Linked DNA regions of Oryctolagus cuniculus. Each later gene encodes a partner of the first gene's protein in a complex. Links are inferred from orthologs where the notes say so. Each region holds a gene or a part of one and is shown in the gene's direction. Other genes may lie near its edges. The genes, in order: OS9, FAM8A1, UBE2J1 and HERPUD1.

Evidence for each region.
Region 2: OS9 (region 1) and FAM8A1 share a complex: the UniProt entries of both Homo sapiens proteins name them as parts of the HRD1 complex. The link is inferred for Oryctolagus cuniculus from reciprocal best matches to the Homo sapiens genes OS9 and FAM8A1.
Region 3: OS9 (region 1) and UBE2J1 share a complex: the UniProt entries of both Homo sapiens proteins name them as parts of the HRD1 complex. The link is inferred for Oryctolagus cuniculus from reciprocal best matches to the Homo sapiens genes OS9 and UBE2J1.
Region 4: OS9 (region 1) and HERPUD1 share a complex: the UniProt entries of both Homo sapiens proteins name them as parts of the HRD1 complex. The link is inferred for Oryctolagus cuniculus from reciprocal best matches to the Homo sapiens genes OS9 and HERPUD1.

What each region holds. Positions count from the first base shown.
Region 1 is NC_091442.1:60,272,789-60,280,228, forward strand, and holds the start of OS9 (protein OS-9), read left to right. Parts: upstream 1-3,138; 5' UTR 3,139-3,201; coding exon 3,202-3,363; intron 3,364-3,770; coding exon 3,771-3,947; intron 3,948-4,713; coding exon 4,714-4,777; intron 4,778-4,887; coding exon 4,888-4,964; intron 4,965-5,198; coding exon 5,199-5,297; intron 5,298-7,440. UniProt on the Homo sapiens protein: Lectin component of the HRD1 complex, which functions in endoplasmic reticulum (ER) quality control and ER-associated degradation (ERAD).
Region 2 is NC_091436.1:144,838,791-144,846,173, forward strand, and holds the start of FAM8A1 (protein FAM8A1), read left to right. Parts: upstream 1-3,394; 5' UTR 3,395-3,512; coding exon 3,513-4,227; intron 4,228-5,228; coding exon 5,229-5,349; intron 5,350-7,383. UniProt on the Homo sapiens protein: Plays a role in the assembly of the HRD1 complex, a complex involved in the ubiquitin-proteasome-dependent process of ER-associated degradation (ERAD).
Region 3 is NC_091436.1:83,190,449-83,197,272, forward strand, and holds part of UBE2J1 (ubiquitin-conjugating enzyme E2 J1), read left to right. Parts: intron 1-4,187; coding exon 4,188-4,466; 3' UTR 4,467-6,824. UniProt on the Homo sapiens protein: Catalyzes the covalent attachment of ubiquitin to other proteins. Functions in the selective degradation of misfolded membrane proteins from the endoplasmic reticulum (ERAD) and is essential for cells to recover from ER stress.
Region 4 is NC_091449.1:40,587,665-40,594,488, forward strand, and holds part of HERPUD1 (homocysteine-responsive endoplasmic reticulum-resident ubiquitin-like domain member 1 protein), read left to right. Parts: intron 1-2,785; coding exon 2,786-2,863; intron 2,864-2,949; coding exon 2,950-3,024; intron 3,025-3,879; coding exon 3,880-4,010; intron 4,011-6,640; coding exon 6,641-6,763; intron 6,764-6,824. UniProt on the Homo sapiens protein: Component of the endoplasmic reticulum quality control (ERQC) system also called ER-associated degradation (ERAD) involved in ubiquitin-dependent degradation of misfolded endoplasmic reticulum proteins.

The sequences.
Region 1 (7,440 bases):
TAGTTCTGCCATGCGCTTCGGTGTCTTCTTTTGCCATTGCTCTGGTGATTGCTTTTGTCTCTTTGTATTGTTCTTGTTAAATGTTTGTTTGTTTATTTCTGTGAGAGGCAGAGAGATAGAACAGACAGATGAAACTCCCATTTGCTGGGTCATTCCCCAAATGTCCTCAACGGTCAGAGCTCGGGCCAGGCTGAAGCCAGGAGCCGGGAACTCTGTTCAGATCTCCCGCGTGGGTGGAAGGGATGCAAGTTCTTGAGCCACCTCTTGGCCTTCCAAGGTTCGCATCAGCAGGAATCTGGAGCCAGAACCCAGGCAGGACTGGAACCCAGGCTTGTGGGCACCCAGCACTGTCATAAACGCTGCGCCAGACGCCCGTCCCGCCTTCGGAACTCCGCAGGTGTTTTCTGCCGTCCCTAACCACTAGTGTTAGGTCGATGAGCCTCCTCCAGCTCTGGTGTTTGACCCGCCATGTGACTTGTCCTTTTTCCCTGGCAGCCCTGAGTTGTGTCTGTGTCCGGGGCTCTGGAAGCAGTGGCGATGCCTCCTGCTTTGTTCTGGGCGCAGATCCTGCTCTTTCCCTTCGCAGGCTCAGCTCTTCAGCGCAGGGAAACACTGCTGAGTGACTTCCTGAGCAACTTCTCTCCTTCTGAGTCTCCGCTCTCTTTCTGAAGTTATCAGTTTTCAGATGTTCGACCCTCTGGACTGATTCTCTAATTTTCATCAATTTTCTCCTGAAGTCAAGCCAATTTGATCTTCAACCTTCTCCAATTTTTCTAATGAATTTTTATTTCACCTATCATGGTTTTGATTTCTAAGAGGCCCTTTTGCTTATCTGAATAGCAATTACTTTATTTAAAAAAAAAAGATTTACTGGGGCCAGCACTGTGGCATAGTGGGTTGAACCACCACCTGCAGTGCCAGCATCCTATATGGGTGCCGGGTCAAGTCCCAGCTGCTGCACTTCTGACCAGCTCCCTGCTAATGGCCTGGGAAAGCACTGGAAGATGGCCCAAGTGCTTCCAAGTGGGCCCTGCACCCACGTGGGAGACCCAGAAAAAGCTCCTCGCTCTTGGCTTCTGTCTGGCTCAGCTCCGTCCTTTGTGGCCATTTGAAATGGGGAGAGACAGAGAAACAGAGACAGAGAGAGAGAATCTTCCATCCCTGGTTTTCTTCCCAAACAGATGCAACAGCCAGATCTAGTCCAGGCATAAGCCAGGAGCCAGAGACTCCATCTGGGTCTCCTGCGTGGGTGTCAGGGCTGCGGGTTACTTGTGCCATCTCCACTGCCTTCCCAGGTGCATTAGCATGAAGCTGAATGGGAAGCGGAGCAGCCTTCTACCTGCCAGCCTGGCAAGAGGTGTCTTGATCCTCTGCACCAGCGACTCTGCCCAGTGGGGCCTTTTAAAACAGCTTCCAGGGGCTAGTAGGTTAACCTCTGCCTGTGGCGCCAGCATCCCATATGGGCGCCGGTTCAAGTCCTGGCTGCTCCACATCCAATCCAACTCCCTGTTAATGTGCCTGGGAAAGCAGCGGAAGATGGCTCAAGTCCTTGGGACCCTGCACCCATGTGGGAGACCTGGAAGAAGCTCCTGACTCCTGGCTCAGATTGGCCCAGATCCAGCCATTTGCAGCATTTGAGGAATGAACCAGCAGATGAAAGACTTCTCTCTCTCTTTCTCTCTCTCTGTAATGCTGCTTCTCAGATAAATAAATCTTTTTTTTTTTTTTTTTTTTTGACAGGCAGAGTGGACAGTGAGAGAGAGAGACAGAGAGAAAGGTCTTCCTTTGCCGTTGGTTCACCCTCCAATCGCTGGTGCACCGCACTGATCCAATGGCAGGAGCCAGGTACTTATCCTGGTCTCCCACGGGGTGCAGGGCCCAGGCACTTGGGCCATCCTCCACTGCACTCCCTGGCCACAGCAGAGAGCTGGCCTGGAAGAGGGGCAACCGGGACAGAATCCGGCACCCCGACCGGGACTAGAACCCGGTGTGCCGGCACCACGGAGGATTAGCCTAGTGAGCCGTGGCGCCGGCCAGATAAATAAATCTTTAAAAAACCAGCTTCCATTGTCATTTTATGGATACACTGTTTCACCTTTCTGAGGCTACAGATGGTGGGGTTTTTAAATTTTAAAATATTTGTCTTATTTTTGCCCTCCCCTAATCTTTATTACCTTTAATTTGCTTTTTTTTCTCTTTGCTTGCTTGGTTTTGTTTCTCTCTTGTATCTTTAAAGTCCTTCCTTGAACGTCTAAGGACACTGCCTGGCTGTGTTAAGAGCGAGGAGGTCAACAAGCAGATTGGAGTCAGCTCAGGGCTGGGGCTTGCCTGTGGGATTGTGTGCCTCACTGCGACAGCTTCTCTTTGGGATTTTCCTTTTGTGCTGGAGAAATTCCCCAGAGAACGTTTTCCAGCGGCACCATGCTCATGTTTACCTTTGTTTAGGGGCCGATTTTCTCATTCTGCTAAGCCGGTTGCCGTTCCTCTGCCGGCTTTCCAGCTTCGCAGACGTTGCATCTGCCTCCTTTCCTTCTTTGTTCTTTGGTGTGTGTTTATTTTTTCTTTTACAATAATACGTGCATTAGCACCTTACTCCGTCTTTCACTGACAGCTCCCGTGATTCCTTTAGGATCATTTTATTGGAGAACAACTGCAGGATCGTGCAGAAAGTCTGACACAAATTACCTGATTGCCCTGAAGTAGTGTATATATGAAATGAGGTATGATTCTAATAATCGCTTGTTTCGCAAAAAGTGTTCATTAACTTCCACGGGTATCGCACACACCTATCCGTCAGCCCCAGTACTCCGCTCTGCGCGGGGCGGGACACTTTGCATGAAACGTCTAAAAAATACGCTAAGCAGAGATGCGCGGGACAGCTGGCCGAGGAGAGCGAAAAGCTGCCAAAAAGCGCCCAGGGCAAGACCACGCCTCTATGGAATTGGGGGAATAAGGGGTGGGGGTCTAATCTCGTCGTTGATTGGTTGGCATCTCTGGCCAATCACGCGCAGTGATTGATTGTGCCAATCGTCGTGGTCCACCTCCCCGGGAACTTTGGAGCCACGTTTACAAATGGGAATCAGGTACGTGAGAGGGACAGAACGTGTAGCCAATGAGAACTTGCGGCGCTAGTGGGAGGGGTGAGGCCGCTGCCAGGTTTAGGGCGGAAGGAGCTTCTCTGGTTAAGAAGGGGAACGAAAGATGGCGGCGGAAACGCTGCTGTCCAGCCTATTGGGGCTGCTGCTTCTGGGGCTGTTGTTACCTGCAAGTCTGACCGGCGGTGTTGGGAGCTTGAACCTGGAGGAGCTGAGTGAAATGCGTTATGGAATCGAGATCCTGCCATTGCCAGTCTTGGGAGGGCAGGTGAGAAGGCGTGTGAGGGGTGAGGGTCCGAGGTAGAAGAGGAAGGAGGAGAGAAGGTAGAGAAAGAAAGGCAGGTGCGGAGGCTGGGGGGAGCCTAAGGGGATCGGGAAGAGTAGGTAGGGCTGTTACAGTGACTCCTGGTGATCGCAGCCTGAGACCCATTCCCTGGGGCCCGGGGCCTGGGGGGAGAGGAGTTCCAGCTGTCAGCCTGCAGGTCGGGGTTCACGGTGCAACACCCAGTCTCCGCCTCCGTGGAGAAGTGGGAGTGCCCCCCAGACCACGGAGGCCTTTTGGCTCCTTCTGTAGCCGCCTGGGCTCCTCCCCAGGGTCCGCAGAGGGATCCGGGTGTTTTCTATAATCGCAGCCTCTCTTTGCGTCGGAGCCCCCGACCTTCCCTTCTTTCCCAGAACCAAGCTTCGGACGTGGTGATCGTCTCCTCCAAGTACAAACAGCGCTACGAGTGTCGCCTGCCCGCTGGAGCTATCCACTTCCAGCGGGAGAGGGAGGAGGAGACACCCGCGTACCAAGGGCCTGGGATCCCGGAGCTGCTGAGCCCCATGAGAGATGCTCCCTGCCTGCTCAAGGTGAGACGGCCTGTGGGGACGGAGCGCGGGCTTGGGAACCGGCAGCCGCTCTGACAGCTGCGGTGCCAACGAGTGCGAGCGGGACCTGGGGAACCTGTAGGAGCTTAGAAGGCCGGGAGTGGTCACCTGTGGGCGTGTAACACAGCCAGGAAAGAAGCAGACTCCTGCAACCTGAGACACGGGACGGCCGATCTCAGACTAGGAGGTGTCACTGTGGCACAGGAGGGGCGGCTCCTCGGGGAAGCCTACCTCCTGCAGTCAGCCCCTTCTGTCACTCGTCACAGTATCCCACTTTTTTTTTTTTTTTATTATAATGGCACTTTTCAGGAGATGAATATTAACTGAATGAGTTTGTTTATTTTTGGTCTGACTCCCAAGCTCTAGAATGTGGCTCCATGAGGTCATTTGGTCTTGCTCATGGCTGCCTTCCGGGTGCTTAGCATAGTGCCAGGAGTGCTAGTTGACTTGCTCTGAGTGCTTCAAGGATAACACGATTCCTTATCTTTATGGAAGGCAAAGGATTAAAAACAAAATCTGGAAGAAAACAAAAAAGGTGGGAGATCCCAGGCAGAGAACAGAGTTTGGGGTTCTCTGTGTCACAGAAGGAAAACAGCTCTTCCTTCTCAGTGAGGGGCTGGAGAATTGAGCGTGGAGGTGGAGGGAGATGAGAAGTAGACAAGAGGTTATGTGTCTTGGAGCCCAGGGCTGGTTCCGAGAAGAGACATCTGCATCTGGGCCCACCCATTCTTCGTTTTGTAATTGGCAGACCAAAGACTGGTGGACGTACGAGTTCTGTTATGGACGCCACATCCAGCAGTACCACATGGAAGGTGACTCGCTCGTCCGTTTCCCCTGTGTGGAAGGTGGCCGCCTCCCCAGCCCTCCTCCCGCTGCCTCCTCTTAGAAGACAGTAACTGCTTCCCTGTGGCTTCTCTTGCAGATTCAGAGATCAAAGGTGAAGTCCTGTATCTCGGCTACTACCAATCGGCCTTCGACTGGGATGACGAAACAGCCAAGGTGGCGGGAGCCTGGGCCTGGAGGAGAAAGGGCTTTGGGCTGCAGGATGAAAGATCTGGAGAGAAGGGGAGGGTCAGGTTCACCGACGACTTTCTAGGGCCTTGCTGGCCACTAGGACCCAGTGCCCTAGGGCCAGGGTTCTGAGGTCTCAAGGTCCCAGCAGGGACGGGGTGCCATCCTTTCTCTTTGCCGTCTTTCTCACACCCTCTCCCTGCGGCCCGATGTCTTCTCCAGGCCTCCAAGCAGCATCGCCTGAAACGCTACCACAGCCAGACCTATGGCAACGGGTCCAAGTGCGACCTCAATGGGAGGCCCCGGGAGGCTGAGGTTCGGGTGAGTCTTAACTCCCTCAGTGACAGCTCCCCTTCTAGAGGAGGAGGGCAGGCTGGCCTGGGACAGTGAGGTGGGGCTCTCCCAGGCCCTAAACCCGAAGGGGTAAGCCGCCTGTTTCAGTGCCGGCTATCCACATGCCCTTCAGGCCAGTAGTTCCCAGATCTTCCGTCTGTGCCCCAACCACGTCCTTGCACCCCCCCACATTTGTCCTTCCTGTCACCTGACTCCTGCTCCACGTTGAGCCCCCTGTCGTCATTAACCAACTCCTCAGTGGGGTCTTGCCATGTTTGTGGGCCACGTGGGAATGCAGTGGTGAGTGTGCAGCCCCTGTCCTCGTGAGATATGCAGTCTGAATTGCAGAAGTGAATCTGAGATTACAAAGAAGTAAGATGAAGGAAAGGAGTCTAATTCTCTCAGCATGAATAACACAGCCCATTCATTCTAGGCGTATCTTAAAACTCACCTTTTGTTTTCTGTGGTTGGTACCTGTATTGCAGCCAACGGCCTCTTTTTTTTTTTTTTAAGATTTATTTATTTGAAAGTCAGAGTTACACAGAGAAGCAGAGGCAGAGAGAGAGCGAGGTCTTCCCTTGCTGGTTCACTCCCCAACTGGCCACAATGGCCGGAGCTGCACCGATCCAAAGCCAGAAGCCAGGAGCTTTTTCTAGGTCTCCCACATGGGTGCAGGGGCCCAAGGACTTGGTCCATCTTCTACTACTTTCCCAGGCCGTAACAGGGAGCTGGCTTGGAAGTGGAGCAGCCGGGATTCGAACTGGCGTCTATATGGGATGCCGGCACTGCAGGTGGTAGCTTTACCCGCTACACCACAGCGCTGGCCCCAACCAATGGCCTCTGAACAAATGCCCCTCAGCATGCCGACGTGTGGTGGGCAGAGAGCCTCAGGAGATTCTGATGCATTCACAAGCACACACACCTGCCACATGCCACCCACCAGCCTTACCTTCTGTCGCTCCCCCTCTTCGTGGAGGAACGACACAGGACCCTGCGCTGTTCTTTTGTCTGCTCGGCCCTCCCCGGGTTTGCTGCTGGTTCTTCCCGGGTTGGCTACCGTCCCTTCCACCTCCGTGGAAGGGCGGTTCCCCCTGCCACTTTCCCCACTTCCGCGGGAGAGCGGCACACCGCCGGCCGGCTCTCTCAGGGGCTGCACAGGTGTTCCCTCAGATAGATGTTCCCCGTAGATGTTCCTGGTGCATGTTGTCTCTCTCCTCCTTTATAGTCCTCCTCCGCCAATCCCAACTCTGCTACCCACACGCCGAGTACGCTGCTCTCCTCCAATCAGGAGCAGGTCCTGCTGTTTATTGGTTGAACTGGAGGCAGCTGTGTAGAAGCTGTTTCTCCCTTCTCAGCGCCATATTGTGGGAGAGCAGATGCATAGAATAAGTCTTAATTCCAGTAACTTAGTCTAGTCCGAGTTGCTCCCCACACCTTCCCATAACACAGATTTGTATGTGCAGTGTGTGCTAGTAAGTGTTGACCGCCCAGATCCCTGGGCAGGGTAGGTGTGCTGGAGGAGGAGTCCTGATTGTAACATTTGCCAATATCTGTGGTCCAAATACTCCAGTCATGCCCACATCAGGATGTCTGCTGTCTTGCAACATTTCCCCAGATTTATCAGTTGTCTCTTGTGAGCTGATTCGTGAGCTGGCTCCAGTCTGCCGCTGTAACCACAGATCACTTCTCTCCCAGCGCTGGAAAACCGTCGCTGATTTTGCTGTGCTTCAGCACTGACCTGAATAGTAGCAGCAGAGAGGGTGAGAAATAGGCAGATTCTGTCTCTGTTTTGAAGGTAGAGCCGAGAAGATTTATTGACGTATGGGATGTGGCAGAGAGGAAAGGGTGACCCCAGAGGTTTCCGTGTGAGCTGTTGGAACCACAGCATCGTCATCTCCTGACGTGTGAAGGAGCAGGTTTGGGGGAGGCAGTTCAGTTGGTTTTTGACATACGCAGGTCAAGGTACCTATCAGACATCCCCGCAGCATGTGCGGTTGGCATTTAGCTCTGTGGGTCTGGAATTCAGGGCGAGATCTAGGCTGGAGATAAAAATACTCATCGTGTTTCTGCCACACTGGCCGCCTTCTGTCCTTTGAACCAGTGACTCTCATTGTTCCCTCTGCCTGGGATA
Region 2 (7,383 bases), on another chromosome or scaffold:
GGGCCACCTATATCCAATGACTCTCAATCTGTACCTTCACAGATGCAATGTACTCAGCAGCCAGTACCCCCTGGATACCCACAGGAACCTCACTGCACCCCCTTCTGCCATCGTGCACTACCTCCTGTCTTCTTCATTCCCACGGAGGGCATCACAGTCCACTCATCCAGTCAGCCACGCTGCAGAGTGTGTGACGCGCTCTCTCTCCTCCCAGATGCATGCAGTCAGCCAGTTCTGCAAATTGAGCTTCCTTATTCACTCAAATGCTCCGTCTCCCTTACATCCCACTGTAAGTGCTCTGGGTTAGGTTCTCTTCATTTTATCTAGACTGTACTCTCCCCGCTGGAGTCACATCTTCAGTGGTACACCATTTCCAACTCATCTTTCACAGTTAGCACAAGGATATGACCAGGTGTACATCCCTGAGTAAAGCTCTTCAACAGCTTCTGCTCTCTGTGGGTTGAAGTCCAAACTCCCTCATGGAGGACAAAAGCACTCTGACTCCTCCCTCCTTTTCCTGGCTTATCTCCATGCCAGCCAGCCAAGGCCCTAAGTGTCAGCTATTTCTGTGAACTTTGCTCAGGTTGCAGCCTTTCCCTGCAATCACAGTCCCTCCTGTGTCTCCATCACGAATGTTGCTAAGACTTAGCTCATGACCACCTCCAGTGTGTCACCTCAAAGCTGTTCCCTAGTCTCAGGCCTGTCTCCTAACAGATGGATGGACCCCTGTGGTGGAATGAGGTGAAAAGGTCCTATCAAGATGGCCGCTGACAACAGAAACTGCCTGGCAACAGGCCGTGATTGGATGGCTTTGGAAACTGACAACAGGCTGTGATTAGTTGGGGCATAGACTGCCCCTTGACCGGATTGGCTGGTCTTGACTATATAAGCTGTTGTACTAACTGAAATAAACCAGTCTGTGGGCTGCTTGCCTCCAGCCCACTTTCACCCGACTCCTGGGGTCTGTGTGGTGACTCCATGCCTCTTGCCCCCACCATGCTCCTCCTCTCAGAAACAAATGCACCGCAACATTGTTGAGAAATCAACTGCAACAGACCACTCCCTCCTTGGGGTTCACACTTTACCAGACACTTACTCACCGCCAAGCTCCCCCATCCGTTCTGTGAGCTTCTCAACTACAAAGACTACATCTCACTCGCCTTTGTATCCCCATCATCTAGCATAGCAACCAGCGCAGACAGTGCTCAGTAAATGAGGAAAGAAATGGAGTTGTGGCTAGAGGGAGGTGGAGAGGTCTACTCTCTTGAGGTGCTCACGGGGAGCAACCACCAACACTCTTGGGTTAGAACCAGTGAAAGCCATCTAGGGATGCAGCGAGAGTGACTCTCAGCCTTAGGTGCACAAATTGCCTGGGGGAGTACAGATGCTCAACTCACAATGGGGTTATGTTCCCAAGAAGACCACCGTAAGTTGAATGTCATAAACAGAAAAAGCATTGTGTGCACCAGACCTCCTGTACATCCTGGCTCAGCAACAGAGCACTGCAGTGGTTTTCCTTGATAACTATGGGGCTAACTAGCAGCTGCCCAGCATCTCCTGGGTTGGACCACCCAGTGGTAGCCAGGGAAAGATCCAAGTTCAACAACTATGTTTTCCAATATGGTTTCTATTGAATGCAGATCACATAAGGAATGCTTTCAGGAGCAATGCTGATGGTACCGCTTGATCAACTCAGACCTAAGAGAGTTTCAAGATTTTATTTTTATTTATTTGAGAGGTAGATTTACAGAGAGACAGAGGCAGAGAGAAAGAGAGGCCTCCCACCTACTGGTTCACTTTCCAAATGGCCCCAACAGCCAGAGCTGGGCCAATCTGAAGCCAGGAGCTTCTTCGGGTCTCCCACGTGGGTGCAGGTGCCCGAGGACTTGAGCTATCCTCTATTGCTTTCCCAGGCCACAGAATAGAGCTGGATTGGAAGTGGAACAGCTGGGACTTGAACCAGAGCCCCTATGGGAAGCCAGCACTGCAGGCAGCAGCTTTACCTGCCAAGCCACAGCGCTGGCCCCACGATCTTATTTTAAAGGCAGAGTTTAGAGAAAAAGTGTGAGATCTTCCATCTGCTGGTTCGCTCCCCAAATAGCTACAACAGCCTGAAGCCAGGAGCCAGGAGGTTCTTCTAGGTTTCCCACAAGGGTGCTGGCACCCCCAGGTGCATCAGCAAGGAGCTGGATGGGAAGTGGAGCAGTTAGGCCTTGAACCTGGGCCTTAAGGGATGCAGGCATCACAGGTGGTGGCTTCACCTGCTAAGCCACAACGCCAGCCCAATACTCAGTCTTAATAGTTTTTCAAGTGTTGTGTCCAAGTCTCTATCCAGCTCATTAGCTTCTTAGACGTTAAGCCTTTTAGATGCCCCTGAGCAGTCAAAAATTATTCTGGGCATCATCAGTAAATACTCCATGGGCTCTTGGCCCCTGTTGGCCCTGATTCTGGCCAAAGTTATACTACTACGACTGAGGGAACTAATCCAGTTAAGGACATGGGAAAGCATATTAAAATACTAGTCTGTGGGAACAGCGCTGTGGCGTAGCAGGTAAAGCCACTGCCTGCAGTGCCAGCATCCCATATGGGCTCGGGTTCGAGACCTGGCTGCTCCATTTCCCATCCAACTCTCTGCTATGGCCTGGGAAACAGAAGATGGCCCAAGCCCTTGGGCCCCTGCACCCACGTGGGAGACACGAAAGAAGCTGCTGGGTCCTGGCTTCGGATTGGTGCAGCTCTGGCCATTGCAGCCAGGTGGGAAGTGGACCATCGGATGAAAGACCTCTCTCTCTCTGCCTCTCCTTCTCTGTAACTGATTTTCAATAAATAAATCTTTTTTAAAAGGCTCCCAAACCCTGGATATAATCAGGGGTTCTTTCCCCAACAGGAAAACAGGCTTAAGGAAAGGTTCCGCTCTGCGGCAGCGGGAAAGTTTTTATGGACACAGGCTCGCTAGCTCCAGCATCAGGACCAAGACCAGCTTCTAAATCAGCAATCTCTCTTCCCGTCGCATCCCAAAACAAGTCCCAGTTCAGTTTGGCTGTCGATGTGTTTCTCCCAAGTGCACAGACATTCTCGAGCACAAATGGCGAACCACGCTCTCGGCTCGGCGAGGGCAATGGCGGCGCTGGCCCCGGGCCCGTCCCGGAAATCCCCCTCCATCCAGCCGAAGTTTCTCACGGGACATCCGGCGCCAACCCCCCGGGATTCTCTAGAGAGGCCTCAGGCCTTAGACATCACTCGATTAACCATAAAGAGGCGTGGGGAGCCGGACTGCCGACGGGACAGGAACCCAAAAACCCCACACCAGACACAACAGCCCAACCTCCCGGCCTCCGGCGGCCCCGCGCAGCGATCAGCGACGCCCCCCGAGGGGCGGGGTTTCCGCTTCCGGTGGCGGATTGTTGACGCCTGCGGCTGCTGCGGTGGCGAAAGGGCCGTTGGGGAGGGGCCTCTGAGGGGAGGGAGACGGCGCAGTGACAGGTACCGCGAAGGGTGCTGCCGAGGCGACGATGGCAGAAGGGCCCGAGGAAGCCCGAGGTCGCCCTCCCGGGCAGGACGATGGCGGAGGGGACCACGCGCCTGTCCCTTCCCTGAGAGGCCCTCCCGCAGCCGCCGGCCCTTGTCCCCGAGACGCGGCGCCAGTCGAACCCCAGGCCCCGGGCCGGCCGCCAGCCCCGGCCCTCGCGCCCGCCTCCGCCGCTGCCCCGGAGGAGTCGGAGCCGCAGCGGGAGCTCAGGAGGCGAAGAGAGGCGGCCCCGAGCTCCGGCGCGGGGCTGCAGGAGCCGGCGGGCTGCGAGGCGGCCGAGGCCGAGGCGCTGCGGGAGAAGCCGGCGCGGCTGAGCGCCCGCGAGTACTCGCGGCAGGTGCACGAGTGGCTGTGGCAGTCCTACTGCGGCTACCTCACCTGGCACAGCGGCCTGGCCGCCTTCCCCGCCTACTGCAGCCCCCCGCCGCCCGCTCCCAGCTACGCTACGGCCGCCGCCGCCCCCCAGGCCGCGGCGCCGCCGCCCCCGCAGCTGGCCTATTACAACCCCTTTTACTTCCCGAGCGCCGGCGCCGCGGGAGCGGAGGCGGGGGCGGCTGCGGGCATCAGCACCCCGGCCCCGGTGGCGGGCCTGGGGCCGCGGGCTCCTCACGTGCAGGGCTCGGTCCGGGCCGCTCCAGCGACTCGTGCGGGATCCGCCGCGCCTTCGCGCGCCGCCAGCGAGAGCGGGCGGCAGGCAGGTGAGCAGCGCGAGGCGCGGGGGGTATCCCGAGGGGGTCTTCGGGGAGGCTGCCTGCAGGGTTTGCGCCCCCGTGGGGACGGCCGCGGCTCCCGGGAGTGTGCCCGGGCCTTACACCCCAGTGCCGTCCACCTTGAGAGCAGATCGAGGGCCTCGCGCCCGGGTCGATTCCCACGGGGAGGAATCTGCCCTGGAGAGCGAGGTGGAGAGTTAGACCCACTTGTGCAGAGACTTGACTGGCAATGCTGGAGTGCGCTGCCTAGGGGCTGTGGGCCTGACCGATCCGGAGGATTTACATGAATGCAAATGGAGTTCCCAAGTGTTGGCTGGCCCCTGCTTACTGCTTTCGGAGCCTCCTTGTTAACTTCTGCTTGGGAACTAGAAATGGCTTTAGTTAGCTACGCTTGTTAGAGTTTGTATTCAGCCACCGATATGTGGACCGAGAACCAGTTGGTGCCTGTATATGAGCCTGAATCAGAATTGAGGATGACAGGTTGATGACCCGCGGATTTATTTTCTAGAAAGTAAAACAATGACTGAGGGGAGGGAAATGTGAGATACCGGGATTTACTCTACACAGTATTTATTTATGCTGTACTTTATACCGTGGGTGTTTATACTATAGTTTACTCGAGTTTTACCTTTTTCTCTTAAAGTTTAATTGAGTGTCGCCTAGGTGTGATCACCTGGATTCTCCTAATTTGAGTCCTGCTGAAATGTTTTGGGTACTTGAATCAAACACAGCTGTGAAATCAATCTTTGAACATTAGAGTGATGAAAATAAATTTTAAGCAGTTTATTAAACACAGTGCAGTGGTATCGCTGTATTTTAGTAATACATACTCTTGTTGGGATCAGTATGACTAACTGATGCAAGGTTGTGAATATTCATAATTACTAGGTTGTACCTTGACTTTGCTTTCTCCATTCTTACTTGCCTTGTGCACTAAAGCCTTTGTGAAATGATCATTTTTTCATAATTTTCTTTTTTTTAACTTACAGGCAGGGAGTATGTTATTCCATCCTTGGCCCACAGATTTATGGCGGAGATGGTGGATTTCTTTATTCTGTTCTTTATAAAAGCAACCATTGTCTTAAGCATTATGCACCTCAGTGGAATAAAGTAAGTTAAGCACCTTTGTAGAAGAGTTTGAATTTCTACTGTTTAGAAATTATTGAGTTCTCTTCATGCCTGCAAGTGACTATAAGGATAATGTCATGATTTCTTTCTAAAAGCTCTGTCGGATTTATTTCCTACTGGACCTAAGAAATAACTACAAAGGAGAAAAAAACTCCTCATACATTCTGTAAGATCTGTGAGAATTTCACCCATCAAAAGTAGGTAAAATGATCCTCCAATCCTGGTTTGTTTTCATTCAACTATTCTTGGGCCAGGAAGCAATTTCTCTCTTATTATTCTGTAGAGAGAGTCTCTAACGACAGAAATATAAAGAGCTTTTGGTGGGTGAACTCCTAATTATCAACTAGATGTATTTCCAAATGGCATTGCTTACCATGAGCCCAGTCCCAAGAGAACTGCAAAGTGAGACATTTATTTGAATAACCCTCTCCTGAGATTAAAATAATCATAACAGCAGTTCTCATTTGCTAAGCACTTTCTGTATGCTAGGCACTTAGCTCGCGTCTTTATATGGCGTCTTATTTCATCTTAGTACCACTATGAGGTAGAGGCTAATACCTCCATTTTATAGAGATTGAAATTTGAGTATATGAGAACCTAGGCCCAGAATTTTAAAGGTTACAGAAGTACTAAGTGACCATGTCAAGATACAAACATGTGGTCAATTTTTTTTTTTAGATTTTTTTATTTATTTGAATGATAGAATTACAGAGAGGAGAGAGAGAGAGGAAGGTCTTCCATCAGCTGGTTCACTCCACAAATGGCCACAGTGGCTGGAGCTGTGCCAATCCGAAGCCAGGAGCCAGGAGTGTCTTCTGGGTCTCCCATGTGGGTGCAGGGGCACAAGCACTTGGGCCATCTTCTGCTGCTTTGCCAGGCCATGGCAGAGAGCTGGATCGGAAGAGGAGCAGCGGGGACTCAAACTGGCGCCCATATGAGTTGCCATCGCTGCAGGTGGAGGCTTAGCCTATGACACTGCAGCACCGGCCCCACATGTAGTCAGATTCTAAAACCCCTTGCCAGGAAGCTAGTGTTTCTGCTAGTCCTTCCTGCCCCCTCCCTCTCCTGTGCCTCTATACATCTGATCAAATTCCAGCTCCTTTATGTTCCTTCTCCTGAATGGCTTTCCACCCAGACCATTTCCTCCTCACTTTTCATCAGATCATTTTTCATCATCACTGCTTCTTCCTGGTCCTATTACTGTCATCCTTGAGTTGATTATGGAAAAGTCTTTTTTTTTTTTTTTAAATTATTTATTTATTTGAAAGGCAGTTAACAGGCAGAGGCAGAGGGAGATCTTCCATCCACTGGTTCACTCCACAAATGGCTGCAACGGCCGGAGCTAGGCCTATCTGAAGCCAGGACCCAGGAGTTTCTTCCAGGTTTCCCACGTGGGTGCAGGGGCCCAAGGACTTGGGCCATTTTCCCCTGCTTTCCCAGGACATAGCAGGGAGCTGGATCAGAAATGGAGCAGCCAGGTCTCAAACTGGTACCCATATGGGATGCTGGCAGGGCACTGCAGGCAGCAGCCCCTGATTATAGTAAAAGTCCATCTCTGTCCTTTTTCTGATATAAAGCCAAGTGATTATAAATCCTGATTCTTTTTTAAAAAATATTTATTTATTTATTTATTTGAAAGGCAGAATTACAGAGAGAAGGAGAGGTGTCTGCTGGTTCACTCCCCAAATGGCTGCAACAGCCAAAGCTGGCCCATGCAGATCCAGGAGCCTAAGCTTTATCCAGACCTGCAGCGTGGGTGGCAGGAGCCCAAGGACTTGGGCCATCTTCCGCTGCCTTCCCAGGCACATTAGCCAGGAACTGGATCAGAAGTGGAGCAACTGGGGGCTGGCGCTGTGGCGTGGCAGATGTAAACCTTGGCCTGCTCCCTGCTAATGCACTTGGGAAAGCAGTGGTGGATGGTCCAAGACCTTGGGCCCCTGCACCAGCGTGTGAGACCCATAAGAATCTTGGTGAGTGAACCAGTGGATGGAAGACTTCTCTCTCTCTTTGTCTCTA
Region 3 (6,824 bases), on another chromosome or scaffold:
AAGTAAATTAACCAGGTGCTGGGCCAATACAGCCTGTCTTTTGTGGGGGTGTCCCTTACTAAAGAGTGCGCTCAGTGGTCTTGAGTGGTTTCTCCTGTGGACACAGGGAGCTAGGCGTGGTGGGGGAGCAGAAGGCCCGGAGATAACAGATGGAGGCGTGAGAAAAACGTGTAGGTGGGCGAGAGTAAACCATGTTTACATGATCCCAGTGTCATCGTATGAATCGTAGAGGGACATAATGAGTTAATTATAAAGTTAGAATGTTTAGAGCCGGCGCCGTGGCTCAATAGGCTAATCCTCCACCTTGCGGCGCCGGCACACCGGGTTCTAGTCCCGGTTGGGGCGCCGGATTCTGTCCCGGTTGCCCCTCTTCCAGGCCAGCTCTCTGCTATGGCCAGGGAGTGCAGTGGAGGATGGCCCAGGTGCTTGGGCCCTGCACCCCATGGGAGACCAGGAAAAGCACCTGGATCCTGGCTCCTGCCATCGGATCAGCGCGGTGCGCCGGCTGCAGCGGCGGCCATTGGAGGGTGATCCAACGGCAAAGGAAGACCTTTCTCTCTCTGTCTCTCTCTCTCACTGTCCACTCTGCCTGTCAAAAAAAAAAAAAAAAAAAAAAAAAAAAAGTTAGAATGTTTGAGCTTGAAATATTAAAACTTCTGGATTACTTTTCGTCTCCAGTATTCTAATCATTTTTACTATTTTATGTTTTTTTAAAATAGCACAATTCTGTTAGAAAGAAGGTGGTTATCTTGTTTCAGCTATTAGCACAGGTACTTGTGATATAGTAAATCTTTTATGTATTTTAAATCTGTGTCAGGTCCTCTTGTTATATATTCTGGTTATACCTAGTCCAGTTGCAGTTTTCGTTGTAATCGTTCATAGTCTGTCTCATGTCCCAGAATGTAAGCTCTCCGGGCGTCCTGGTTTACTTTCCACTTCCCTGCCGTATCCCAAGTATCTTGCATAGTGCCTTGCATATAGTAAGCAGTCAGTATGTATTTGTCGTTTGATTGTTTTGGTACTTTTAAAAAATGCTAAGAAAAGGGCTGCTGTTGTGCAGCAGGTTAAGCTGCTTCCTCTGATGCCAGCATCCCATATCGGGTCATCCCATATCAGGGTACCGGGTTAGGTTCTGGCTGCCCTGCTTCCAGTCCAGCTCCTGCTAATGTGTCTGGGAAAGCAGCAGCAGCAGCAGATGGCCCAAAAACCTCAGGTTCCTGCTGCCCACATGGGAGACCAGGATGGAGTTTCAGGCTCCTGGCTTTGGCCTGGCCCAGCCTTGGCTGTTTCAGCCATTTGGGGAGTGAGCCAGTAGATAGAAGATCTCTCTATGTCACTCTGCCTTTCAAATAAATAAAATAAATCTTTTTTAAAAATTGCATTAAGGGGCCAGCTCTGTGGCATAGTGAGTAAAGCCGCTGCCTTCAGTGCTGGCATCCCGTATGAGCGCCAGTTCGAGTCCTGGCTGCTCCACTTCCAATCTCGCTCTCTGCTATGGCCTGGGAAGCAGTAGAAGATGGCCCAAGTCCTTGGGTCCCTGCACCCGTGTGGGAGACCTGAAAGAAGCTCATGGCTTCAGATCTGCTTAGCTCTGGCCTTTGCAGCCACTTGGGGAGTGAGCCAGCGGATGGAAGGCTTCTCTCTCTCTCTCTGCCTCTGCCTCTCTGTAACTCTGCCTCTCAAATAAATAAATAAATCTTTTAAAAAATCTGCATTAAAAATACTAGGAAAATAGGGGCCGGCGCCGCGGCTCACTAGGCTAATCCTCCACCTAGCGGCGCCGGCACACCGGGTTCTAGTCCCGGTCGGGGCGCTGGATTCTGTCCCGGTTGCCCCTCTTCCAGGCCAGCTCTCTGCTGTGGCCAGGGAGTGCAGTGGAGGATGGCCCAAGTGCTTGGGCCCTGCACCCCATGGGAGACCAGGAAAAGCACCTGGCTCCTGGCTCCTGCCATCGGATCAGCGCGGTGCGCCGGCCGCAGCGCGCTGGCCACGGCGGCCATTGGAGGGTGAACCAATGGCAAAGGAAGACCTTTCTCTCTGTCTCTCTCTCTCCCTGTCCACTCTGCCTGTCAAAAAAAAAAAAAAAAAACAACAACAACAACAACAACAAAAAAACAAAAAAAAACTAGGAAAATAGGTAAAGAAATTAAGAAGTTTACATTAGACTGTACAAACAGTGTTACTATTAGGCTAGTATCTTCCTTTTTATTTTAACTTATGCAAGACTTGGAATTCTTTTTCATAGATACAGTTAATTGAGACCAGTTTATGTCAAAATACCAAAAAACAATACATTATCTACAATTATAAGTTAAATTTTTAATTTGCTATACATATAAACTCAGATTAATAATTTGACCACTAGGGAAGTGACTGAAGCTTTGTTTTGGCTGCGGGTGACTGCCTTACTTGCAAGTGTGATATTAATTCACTGAGGTGTTACGCATCAAATCCCAGATCAGCTCTGCATATTTTTTTTTAGCCTGGAAGGGAGAGATTGCCAGGAGTCTAAATACAGAAGATAACATCAGACCATCTGTTGCTTTTTCATGCAGATTTTTTGCTATGGGAAAATACCGACAGTTTTATGTTCTTCTGGTACATCAGATTGAGATTCTGAATAAATCACTCCATTTTATATTAAAAAGCAAACAAAACTCCCTCATAGATGCTGGTTATTCTAGAAAAAGTGATTTATATTACTAAGGACTTAACTATGATTATGAGTATCTTAAGTAGGAAAAATTGTAGACAAGGTACTTAATAAGTGATACCATCCAGGCCGGCGCCGCGGCTCACTAGGCTAATCCTCCACCTTGCGGTGCCGGCACACCGGGTTCTAGTCCCGGTCGGGGTGCCGGATTCTGTCCCGGTTGCCCCTCTTCCAGGCCAGCTCTCTGCTGTGGCCAGGGAGTGCAGTGGAGGATGGCCCAAGTGCTTGGGCCCTGCACCCCATGGGAGACCAGGATAAGTACCTGGCTCCTGGCTCCTGCCATCGGATCAGCGTGGTGCGCCAGCTGTAGCGTGCTGGCCGCGACGGCCATTGGAGGGTGAACCAACGGCAAAGGAAGACCTTTCTCTCTGTCTCTCTCTCTCACTGTCCACTCTGCCTGTAAAAAAATAAATAAATAAATAAATAAGTGATACCATCCAAAAGGCATCTAAAACATAGGAACCTAATTAAAATGTAATATCTGTATAATACTTAAGTGTATGTGCTATGCCATCTACAGTCAATGTTTTAAGGGATTGTTTCCCTGACTATATTAATTGAAAAGCTGTCCTAGATGAGGTTGCAACTATTTTTGAACCTAAACGAGATGCCTCCCAGAAAGATACACTAATAGCAACAAATGAATAATACTAATAAACAGCTGTATATCCTAAGCACTTTTTATCATTATCCCATTTAGTCACAAGTGCCAAATTGGATATTATCTTCATTGTACAGAGATACCACATCTTGATATTGGCTGGCCAGAAATTGAAGTGGTAGAAAGCAGTTGTCATTTGGTGCTTTGAGGAGGCAACCAGTGTGCCAGATAGAGGGTACATTCAGTCACACGTGACTGCCTCCAAACTTCTGAGCATATTCCCAAGGAACTCTGACAGCACAGAATATGCAGTACTAAGACAAGGACACTTGTGAACTTGTGCTCCGGTCCTGCAGCAGCGACTGTGACGAAGGGTAAGCCTGGTCTGAGCACCACAGCGAATCTTCACAGCAGCAGTGCTGGGAAGAGTTGTGATTTCGGGGTGCTGCCTGGGCTCTGCTGTTCTGGTCGGAAGCATGTTGACATGGTAGGAGAATGTTGGAAGAAGACGAGTCACTGTTTTGCCATTTGAAAGTGGAAATGAAACTGCTTCCTCCCTCGAATCTCCTGGAAAAAGGGAAGTGCTCCATGTGTAACCGACGCTGCTGGAGAGCAGAAAGCCACGCATGGAGAGCCTGGGAAGCCCTTCCTCGTCGTGCTTGTCGTGCTTGTCGCTGGCAGGCTCCTCCTCTGCCTCCATGACGTGGGAGTACTCCCTCCTCCTCAGGAAGGAGGGCGTCTCAGGCCGCTCTTGGTAGTTTTGCCCCGAGTTGTACTTGGTACTTAAGATTCTGCTGTATTCTTGAGTAGGCAACAATATATACACAAGCTGTCTTTGCCAATTTCCAACAAAATTTCTTCGCATTTTCCTAGCTTGGAGTCCAGAATCCCTCGGCAGCATCCTTTGAACAACCTACCCCGCCTGCAGCTAAGAATACCTCCATGAGCCCTCGACAGCGCAGGGCCCAGCAGCAGAGTCAGAGCAGGCCATCCGCTTCCCCAGACGCCACGCCAGGCCCGCAGCCCAGAGACAACCACACTGATCACGGCGGATCGGCTGTTCTGATCGTCATCCTGACTTTGGCATTGGCCGCTCTTATATTCCGACGAATATATCTGGCCAATGAGTACATATTTGACTTTGAGTTATAATATTGTTTTGTGACTTAAGAGCTGTGACTCACTCAACTGCTTCATTAAACATTCTGCATTGGGTATATCTCAGAATTGTTTACAAAAAGATTATTTTGTATTCACCCTTCATTCCTTTTTTGATCTTTATAAATTCATCACAGTGTGGCTAGACATTCAGACCGTGTCCGGCAGCGGGTCCCACTTAGTTCTCGGGGCTGGAAGTCGGCGGTCCTCGGCTCACTGGCTGATCTGCTTGCCAGGGAGATAATTTTTTTCTCATGCTTCAGCTGCTTTTTATGCAGGACTTTTTTCTGTGTAGCCCGGTGACATTTTGGGCTAGAAGAGGGTGTTAAGTTCCCATGAGTGCTAGCAGTTACTCAATAGTATTTATTGGGTGCTGTGTTTCTACTTATGGAGAATGACACGGGGCAGAAGAGCTGAAAAGGAAGAGCAGAACTCCTCAAGCAGCTTCCTTAAAATGTCGAGAGCTCCCATTCTGTGAGTTTATGTCCTAACCATTCTTCACCGAGATGAGGTCACATCTTTCTATTGGAGATTACTTGAAGAGGAAGTGCTTTGTAACGGCTTTGATATGCTGTTCCCCTGCTGTCCCCAGTGCACACCAAACTAGAGACAGAAAACAGTCTTCAAGGAAGATCTTTAAGGAAAAAAGGGTCCAAGCCAGGGAATTGTTTGATTTTTCTTCTCCAAGTAAAGTGGGAAGATCTTAAGGTTTGAATGTTTGTTCTGCTTTGAATTGTATATCTTTTGAGATGTATTATATGCCTAGCATTGAAATCACTATAAATTTAATTATTTCAGGAATATGCATAATGTGGAAATATTTCATGCACCATTTTAGTTGAAAAGCTCAGGGCTCAAGTAACCGTGACAGAATTAGGAGAACCTTTACTTAGAATTGTCCACCTAATCGAAGCCCAAGGAAGAATTTCTGGTGGAAAAATCAAGATATAACTTGTGCCAGCCAGCTCCACCAACCCTCGTAGATATTTTTATCATTGTAACGCCTGGTGAGACCCATACAATCACAGGAGATGCTGCCTCCAGTGTGTTCAGTTAGCAACGCTGAGGGCATCTGGAAGTTCTTGATGAGGATTTCAGTTTTAAATGTAAGCAGTCCCCAGCTTTCAAATAGGTGATGCTCTGAAAGTGCATCAGAAGTTCATGTGTTTTTCCAACTCAAACAATGTAGCTGTCCTTCAGCTTCTAGAGCAGTCCACATAAGATAGCCCATGTGGATCTTGGATAGTTGTGGGGAGGGCATTCATAAAGTCCTTACGTGGTTTTGAGTAACTGAAATTATGGGCAATATAAAAAATTATTAAATCATTTTAAAGGCAAATTTAATTTTTACTCCTGGGACTTTTAATCTGTTAACTATGAGGCACAATTCCTGTTTTCATTTGACAGCCAATTTTTCCTTATGTCTGCATCTAAAATAAGAACTTACTGTATACTGTGATATAATACAGAGTTGTCTTAAATTTTCATAGATTAGCATTTAAAGTTGCTTATAGATTATCTCTGTCATATCTGTAACTGAAGTTGGTAGAGGCTAAAAAAAATCCCAAGGACTTTATGAAGACCTCGCATGTCATGAAAATTTTGTCATCATTTTATAACTTTATTGTGTTGAGAAAATGCATTCTGAGCTCTTGATTTGGAACACAAGATAAAAGAAATGTTAGTTCAGAGGTCAGTGGTCTGCTAGCAAGAGGTCCGTGACCCACTGGGAATACCAGGTAGCAGCGGCATCTCAGCGTTTGCTGGGCTCAGAACAGGCTGGCTTCTGCTGCCTCCCTCTCAGCCTCTTGCCAGCCCCTGGGTCTGCGCGGTCGGTCGCGCTGCGTGTTTCCATGGCGTGCACTTACATGGTAAAATCGAGCACTGTGCAGATCCCTCTCATTGGCTTCTTGTCCCTCACCTGTCAACTAACCAGCAACTTGCTTGGTTGTGCTGGGACATAGTGACGGCTGATACATACATCTGAAAGGGGCACACTTCACTCTCTTCTTTTCAGGTCACCTGTGCTCCCTAAAAATCCTTAAATTGATCCCCCATTGTGGGCAAAGTTGGTCTTTGGGAGCCTTCTTAGTGAAACCCCACTGCAGGGTCTCTTCAGAAAACGATTATTTTTAAAGGCCTACCCCATCCCCATAACTAGCATGAGACCAAAATCGAGTGTATAATCTGGTTTACACAGCGCCAAGGTGTAGGATTTCTTCACCCCCCAGTTTTCAGATTTTGGAAACCCAAGCCTTTTTCTTTGACCAACATAACACATGACCGCATATCAAGGTAATTAAAATAGCATGCTTGAAAAAAAAATCTGTTTCACCTGTAACTTTCTAAACC
Region 4 (6,824 bases), on another chromosome or scaffold:
GGCTCCTCCCCGTCGCGCGGGGCTCCCCGCTGGTGGCGCAGGGAGGAGCCGCGGGCACTGGGCGATGGAGCCGGGAGCCAGGCGGGAGGAGTCGGCCCGAGGCTGGTTTTCAGACCCGGGCCCCCCCACCCCACCCCGTTTGGGGAGCTCTCCTTGCTTTGTTTTGGTTGACGCATCTGTCAACATCGCCCTTAGCGCCGCCCTCGCGCCCCGCCACGTGACGCGAGGCCGCCGCGAGCCGGACCTTCCTGTATTTACTTTGCACTCGGATGTTGCGTAAGCGTCGGCCGGGTTGCTCGCTGCCCACCACCCTGTGATCCTCCGTGGGGCAGGAGGAGGGCCGACCCGTGGGAGCGCGCGTGTCCTCGGCGCCTTTTCCTTCCTGGTTGGGAACGTGGACGTGGACTGCCCCTCGGACCTGTGGTTTTTTGGCCTGTGTATCCCGTCACCTCCCGTTCCCGTGGCCTTTGCAATTCACCGCTTGCCTCTCCAATTTCTTGGGAGCTGCTTCCAGGAAATGAGGTGGCCTCGAGGTGCACAGATAGGCGAGGGGCAGGTGCGGAGCATCACTCCCCTGAGTGTGACGACCTCAGAAAGATCTGTCATGTGAACACATTGGTATTTACAAATTACTGCTGGAGCATGCTCAGCATTTGTTTTCTGTAGTATAAAATGGTATAATGTGAGACTTCCGACTTTAGAATAGTTAACATTTAACTTTTTTGTTAGCTTTTATTTTATTTTTTTAATACTGTTTGAAAAAGTTATAGAGAGAAGGGGGAAGAAACAAAGATCTTCCATCTGCTGCTTCACTCCCCAGTTGGCCCCCACAGCCTGGGCTGGGCCAGGCCAAAGCCAGGAGCTTCATCCGGGTCTCCCCTGGGTGTCGGGGGCTCAAGCACTTGGGCCATCTTCCACTGCTTTTTCTAGGTGCTTTAGCAGGGAGCTGGATGGGAAGTGGAGCAGCTGGGACTGGAACCAGTGCTCATATGGGATGCCAGTGTCACAGGCCCCTTAAGTCAGTTCTTTTTCTTTTTTGTTGATTCAGGCCTCGAAAAAGGGGTGGGGAACAATTCAAATCCACAAGCAGCTGTAGTTTTGACATCTTCTCTAGTGGTTGAACTCTTTCAAATAAATACATTAAAAAAAAAAAAAAAAGAGTTACACAGAGAGAAGAAGAGGTAGAGAAAGAGAGAGAGGTCTTCCACCGCTGGTTCACTCCTGAATTGGCCGTAACGGCCGGAGCTGCGCTGATCTGGAGCCAGGAGCCCTTCTGAGTCTCCCACACAGGTGCAGGGGCCCAAAGACTTGGGCCATCTTCTGCTGCTTTCCCATAGCAGAGAACTGGATCGGATGTGGAGAAGCTGGGACTCAAACCGGCGCCCATATGGGATGCCAGCACTGCAGGTGGTGGCTTTACTCACTATGCCACAGCGCTGGCGCCACGGTTGAACTCTTAAATAAAATGCAAGGCTCCACATAATACAGTAGTAGTTTACAAATGCACATATATAGCATTTGCCTCTGACATCAGCCAGAACAATGATGAACACAGCGTCCATCAGATTTCTTTGTTAAAAGAAGTCCTGATGCACGTAGATAAGAAGGTGCTATTTTTTCCGGTGTGATTTTAAGCAGCTTGCTTTATAATTCTAGGCTTTTGAACAAGAACAGCTTCATTCAAAATCTTGCATTATTCTGGCAAGAGTAGGTGGAGGAGTTGGAGACCTCCAGTGTACTGACTGCTGTGTTATTTGAGGCCATTGTTTTTAAGTATAATTTAAATGGAGTTAAAAATTTTAGACTGGCGCCGCGGCTCAATAGGCTAATCCTCCGCCTTGCGGTGCCAGCACACCAGGTTCTAGTCCCGGTTGGGGTGCCGGATTCTGTCCCGGTTGCCCCTCTTCCAGGCCAGCTCTCTGCTGTGGCCAGGGAGTGCAGTGGAGGATGGCCCAAGTCCTTGGCCCCTGCACCCCATGGGAGACCAGGAGAAGCACCTGGCTCCTGCCTTCGGATCAGTGCGATGAGCAGGCCGCGGCGGCCATTGGAGGGTGAACCAACGGCAAAGGAAGACCTTTCTCTCTGTCTCTCTCTCTCACTGTCCACTCTGCCTGTCAAAAAAAAAAAATTTTTTTTAAAGTGAGGTGTATGAAGCGTGTGGAGTCCCCACAGCTGTAGATTCACTGGCGTAGAGAAGAGAGGGTTGGACCGTTGACTCTTTAGCAGTGGTGACCTGGGCCAGTTTCTCAGACTTTGCCCCCTAAAGTAGGGGCAGGAGGTCCCACAAGGTGTGGTATGTCATGTTACCCACACAGCATCTCTGTAATGGAGAAATCTTCTGTGAGGGGCTTGTGCTTAGCATTGCTTCCTGTTGTGTTGGGGCGATGGTAGGTGGTTTTGACGAAGGCTGACCTTGGGAGTACTCTGAGTTCTCTCTGAGACCAAGCCTAGTTTTGAAGTTAGTTGCTATAGGAGCCCCAAATAAAATTTCTGGTTTTCGTGGTGCAAACCCATTTCCCTGGTAGGTAGGATGTCAAGTGTGCTGCCTTGGGTTTCGTGGGCTGCAGATAATTTGTCATCCTAAATTTATTTGCATATTTGAGATCAGTTTAAATTTAAGCACTTTCTGAATAAAAGTTGTGAATGTGGGGCCTTTGCAAGGTGTTTTCCTGTGAGGCTGGGGGAAGTGTGCACACTGGGGTCATGGTATGAAACAGTTGACTCTGTGCTGGAGCGGTGCAGGAGCTAAATGCTGACCTCTGACCCCTTTTCTCTCCACGCTCAGCGTCCAGAGGACCAGAGGTTGATTTATTCTGGGAAGCTGTTGCTGGATCACCAGTGTCTCAGGGACTTGCTTCCAAAGGTGCGTCCCTTACACTGTAACTTTGGAATGCTTTTAGGCGCCAGCAGCCTGAGCGCAGTCCTAAAGTACCTCCTCATGATTTTTAGCAGGAGAAACGGCATGTTTTGCACCTGGTGTGCAACGTGAAGAGTCCTTCAAAAATGCCTGAAGCCAGCACAAAGGTAGGTCGGCTTTCTCTGATTGCAACAATTTGTTTTCAACTCTGAAGGGAGAAATGCAGGAACTTGGAGAACACTTTTAAGAGAGATTTTAGAGCATGTGCTGGAGAGTGGGCCAGAGCCGAGGTGGAAGTGTGGGAGTCAGGAGTGTGACCCGACCTCTGGGTACTGTGTGTCCAGATCACTGAATCAGCAAGGCACTTGAAATGAAGGTGGTAAAAATTGTGCCCACAAGTTTCTTCTAGGGAATCGTTAGTACTATAAAGAATAAAAATCTGAGTATATTTCCTTTGGAAATTCTCATTGTGACTATTTATTTGGATAGAAAAAGGCCACAGTCTTTGTCACGTGATCTGTGAAGATTTATTTTTATTTGATAGAAGTGTTTGTTTTTCATTTCACAATGTTTATCGGAATATACAGTATCGATATTCTAATCATGTACTCTTAAGTTTGTATTACAACTATTTTTAAAATTTATGAATAGAGTATAGGAAATTCTCTTTCCTTTCATTTTCTGGCTGCATTGTATTTATAAATCCTAGTCAAATTTAGTGTCTTAAGTTACATCTTATGATGCTGAACTTACTAACTCATCAGGAAGTTTTCTCAGCAGTGATAACCTCATTGGAAGGCTTTAGTGAAACTGCAGTGTAATTACTCTGGGGAAAGAAAGTATGGATTTTTAAGGATCCATGTATTTAAAATTGGGTTGAATGAATTTCGGAATATTTTTTACATGACATTGCCTGTTTAATTTTGTCTGGTTTAGAGGTGGGGGCGGGGCCATTCACAGCAGAGTGATTGCAGGATGGTTGCATCACGGCCTTTGTTCTGACCAGCACCTTACTTACGCAGGTTGCTGAGTCCACAGAGCAGCCCCCTGGTCCTAATCAGGGCCAGCATCCTGGGGATTCCGCAAGTGATGGCCTAAGGCAAAGGGAAGTTCTTCGGAACCTTTCTCCCTCCAGCTGGGAGAACATCTCCAGGTGAGTGTTCTCATTGAAGAATAAGATGTGTTTGCACCTGTGTGGTCAGAGAACAAAATTTGGCCTTGCAGAGGATTTCATTTTAAAGATACCTTATTTAGCTTTTCTTTGTACACAGCCATTTAGGGAACATCTGAAAAGGCAGGACATGCCTGTCCAGAGAGCGTAGGCATTTTCCTCGCCGTCATGGGTGTGTTTCCTGGTGTTGCCCTTGGGATAGAACACTGTGCGGCTGCTTGCTGAGAGCCCTGCGCTTTGTGTATCGTAACAACGAGGGCAACGGTGAAGGCGCTGAGAAGCGTCCTGCCAGGATGCTTAGAAAAGAGGTTATTACTATTTTTTAAAAGATTTATTTATTTGAAAGGCACAGAGAGAGAGAGGAAGAGAGATCTTCCATCTGCTGGCTCATTCCCCAAGTGGCTGCAGTGGTCAGGACTGGCCAGGAGCCTGGAACTCCACCCTGGCCTCCCACACGGGTGACGGTCTTATCATTGTCGGCCCCCATATTTTTAGAACAATTAGAGCTTTGCTGTAGAGCAGAGATCAGAAGTGACTGGCCGCTCTGAGGTTTAGATTTGACAGCTGTTGGAATACCTCATAAAGTACCTGTGGGAAAAATAATATTGTTGACTACAAGTTAAAATTCTTTAATTCTCTAGTTCTCCCACCTCCTCTTCCTAGTAGTTTTTATCCTCAGTTTTTGATAAAGGCAGATGTTTGAGGAATCGGACTTTTTTTCCTTTAAGATTTATTTATTTTTTTGAAAGTCAGAGTTGCACAGAGAGAGGAGAGGCAGAGAGAGAGAGAGAGGTCTTCCATCCATTTGTTCACTCTCCAATTGGCTGCAACGGCCAGAGCTGTGCCTATCCAAAGCCAGGAGCTTCCTCCAGGTCTCCCACGTGGGTACAGGGGCCCGAGGACTTGGGCCATCTTCTACTGCTTCCCCAGGCCATAGCAGAGAGCTGGATTAAAAGTGGAGCAGGCGGTCTCGAACCAGTGCCCATATGGGATGCTGGCGCTTCAGGCCAGGGCGTTAACCCACTGCGCCACAGTGCTGTCCCCATGGCTTTTTTTTCTTAATGAGAATTTGGAATATACAAAAGTAGAGGGAATTACATAAGGACCCCACATAACCATCACCCAGGCCCCAGTGTTGCTCCTTTCCCTTTTTTTCTTCATGCATTAGAAGTAATTCCTGGACATCCTGTCATTCTGTCCCTATATACTTCAGTAAATAGCTGTACGAAACATTTAGTTGGGTGGGAAGTATCACTGTATCCCTAAATCTGTATATGTGAAATGCATGAATGTTGTTCACCTTAAAAAAATTTAGCAGGAGAAAAGAAAAATTGCTGGCGTTAGTTGAGTTTTATATGTATGTAAGTTCAGCATACATAAAAGATTATTCTTAAATAAACCTTGTTATCTATAAAAAGAACCATTTAGTTTCCTTACATATTTGCAATGCCATCATGATTAGATCTTACAAAATTTTGAAAAGGACCTCATCTAATTTTCATGCATTAGAACTTTTTTAATGATCAAAAAGTGTCAAACTAAGACCTTCTGTTTTAGAAATTCTCTGGATATGGGGTTCAGTAAAAGACTGTCAGCATATAAACTGGATACCTTGTTGGATAGACGATTTAAAGTGGCCTCTCTCATTCTGGCTGTTTAGCATGAGAATTGAAGCTTATCTGATTGCTTGAATTTTACCATATTTAGACTTGTTGATTTCATTTAAAATATGTTTATTGAATAGGCAGTGCATATACCTTTGCTTACAGATACAAGTTGACCAGCAGGAATGAACACGTAACATGCTCCTGATTTTCCTGCAATTCTGTTATAGTTTCAGTTTGTGAAAGGGAGGGAGTTCACTGTGTAGGAAGCACAAGGCCAAAGAAGAGAGTCCCACCTCCCCTGCCCTAAGCAGCTGGAGCTGTGTTACACGATTGGAAAAGCATGAGTTTGACGTCAAACAAAATAAGTCTCAAATCCAGGCCTGCTACTAGCTCAGCGACCTTGTGAAAATCCCTTGTATTCTCTGAGCTGTGCTTGGGCTCCCTTCTGTAAAATGGGAGTGCAGTCCTTCCCCACATGGTTACTGGGGATCCAGTGACCTGGGCAGGCTGCTAGGTGGTCAGTAAGCAAGCACAAGTGATGTCCCCTGCACAGGAAACTGCCCCAGGACACATCTCCCAGGAAGACAGAAGTACTTCCGGAAAGACTTTGGGAGAAATGTGGCTTTTGAGCTGCTCTCTGAAGGGTGCACAGTGGGTTTAGATCTGCAGTGAGACTCAGCCAGTGAGTGGGGCTCTACCTTGCCAGAGAAGGGTCAGCTTGTTGGTACTTCCGTGCACAAGACGAGCAGCCGCCCCCTGTTGGTGACATGATGGGCGCCTAGTGCTGGGCGAGGGAGCTGGTTTTCCTGGGGGCTCTAGAACCTGTAGAGGGCTCTGCCCCTCGGCACTCTCTGTGTTGCATTAACACAGCCATCTGCCACATGGCCACCAGGAAGCCCGTTCATTTGGCTGTCTGATTGGAATTCCTGGGAATAAACTTAGTTTTCATTTATTCATATTCAACCAGTGAGTTGTTTTTTGGTTTTGTTTTAAATCTGCATTCAGGCCTGAAGCTGTCCAGCAGGCGTTCCAAGGCCTGGGGCCTGGTTTCTCTGGCTACACGACATATGGGTGGTTGCAGCTGTCCTGGTTCCAGCAGATCTACGCCCGGCAGTACTACATGCAATAGTGAGTCCTTCCCACTAGACTGCATGTGGTCGTGACTCTGGGGATTGTGGGTGACCCCATG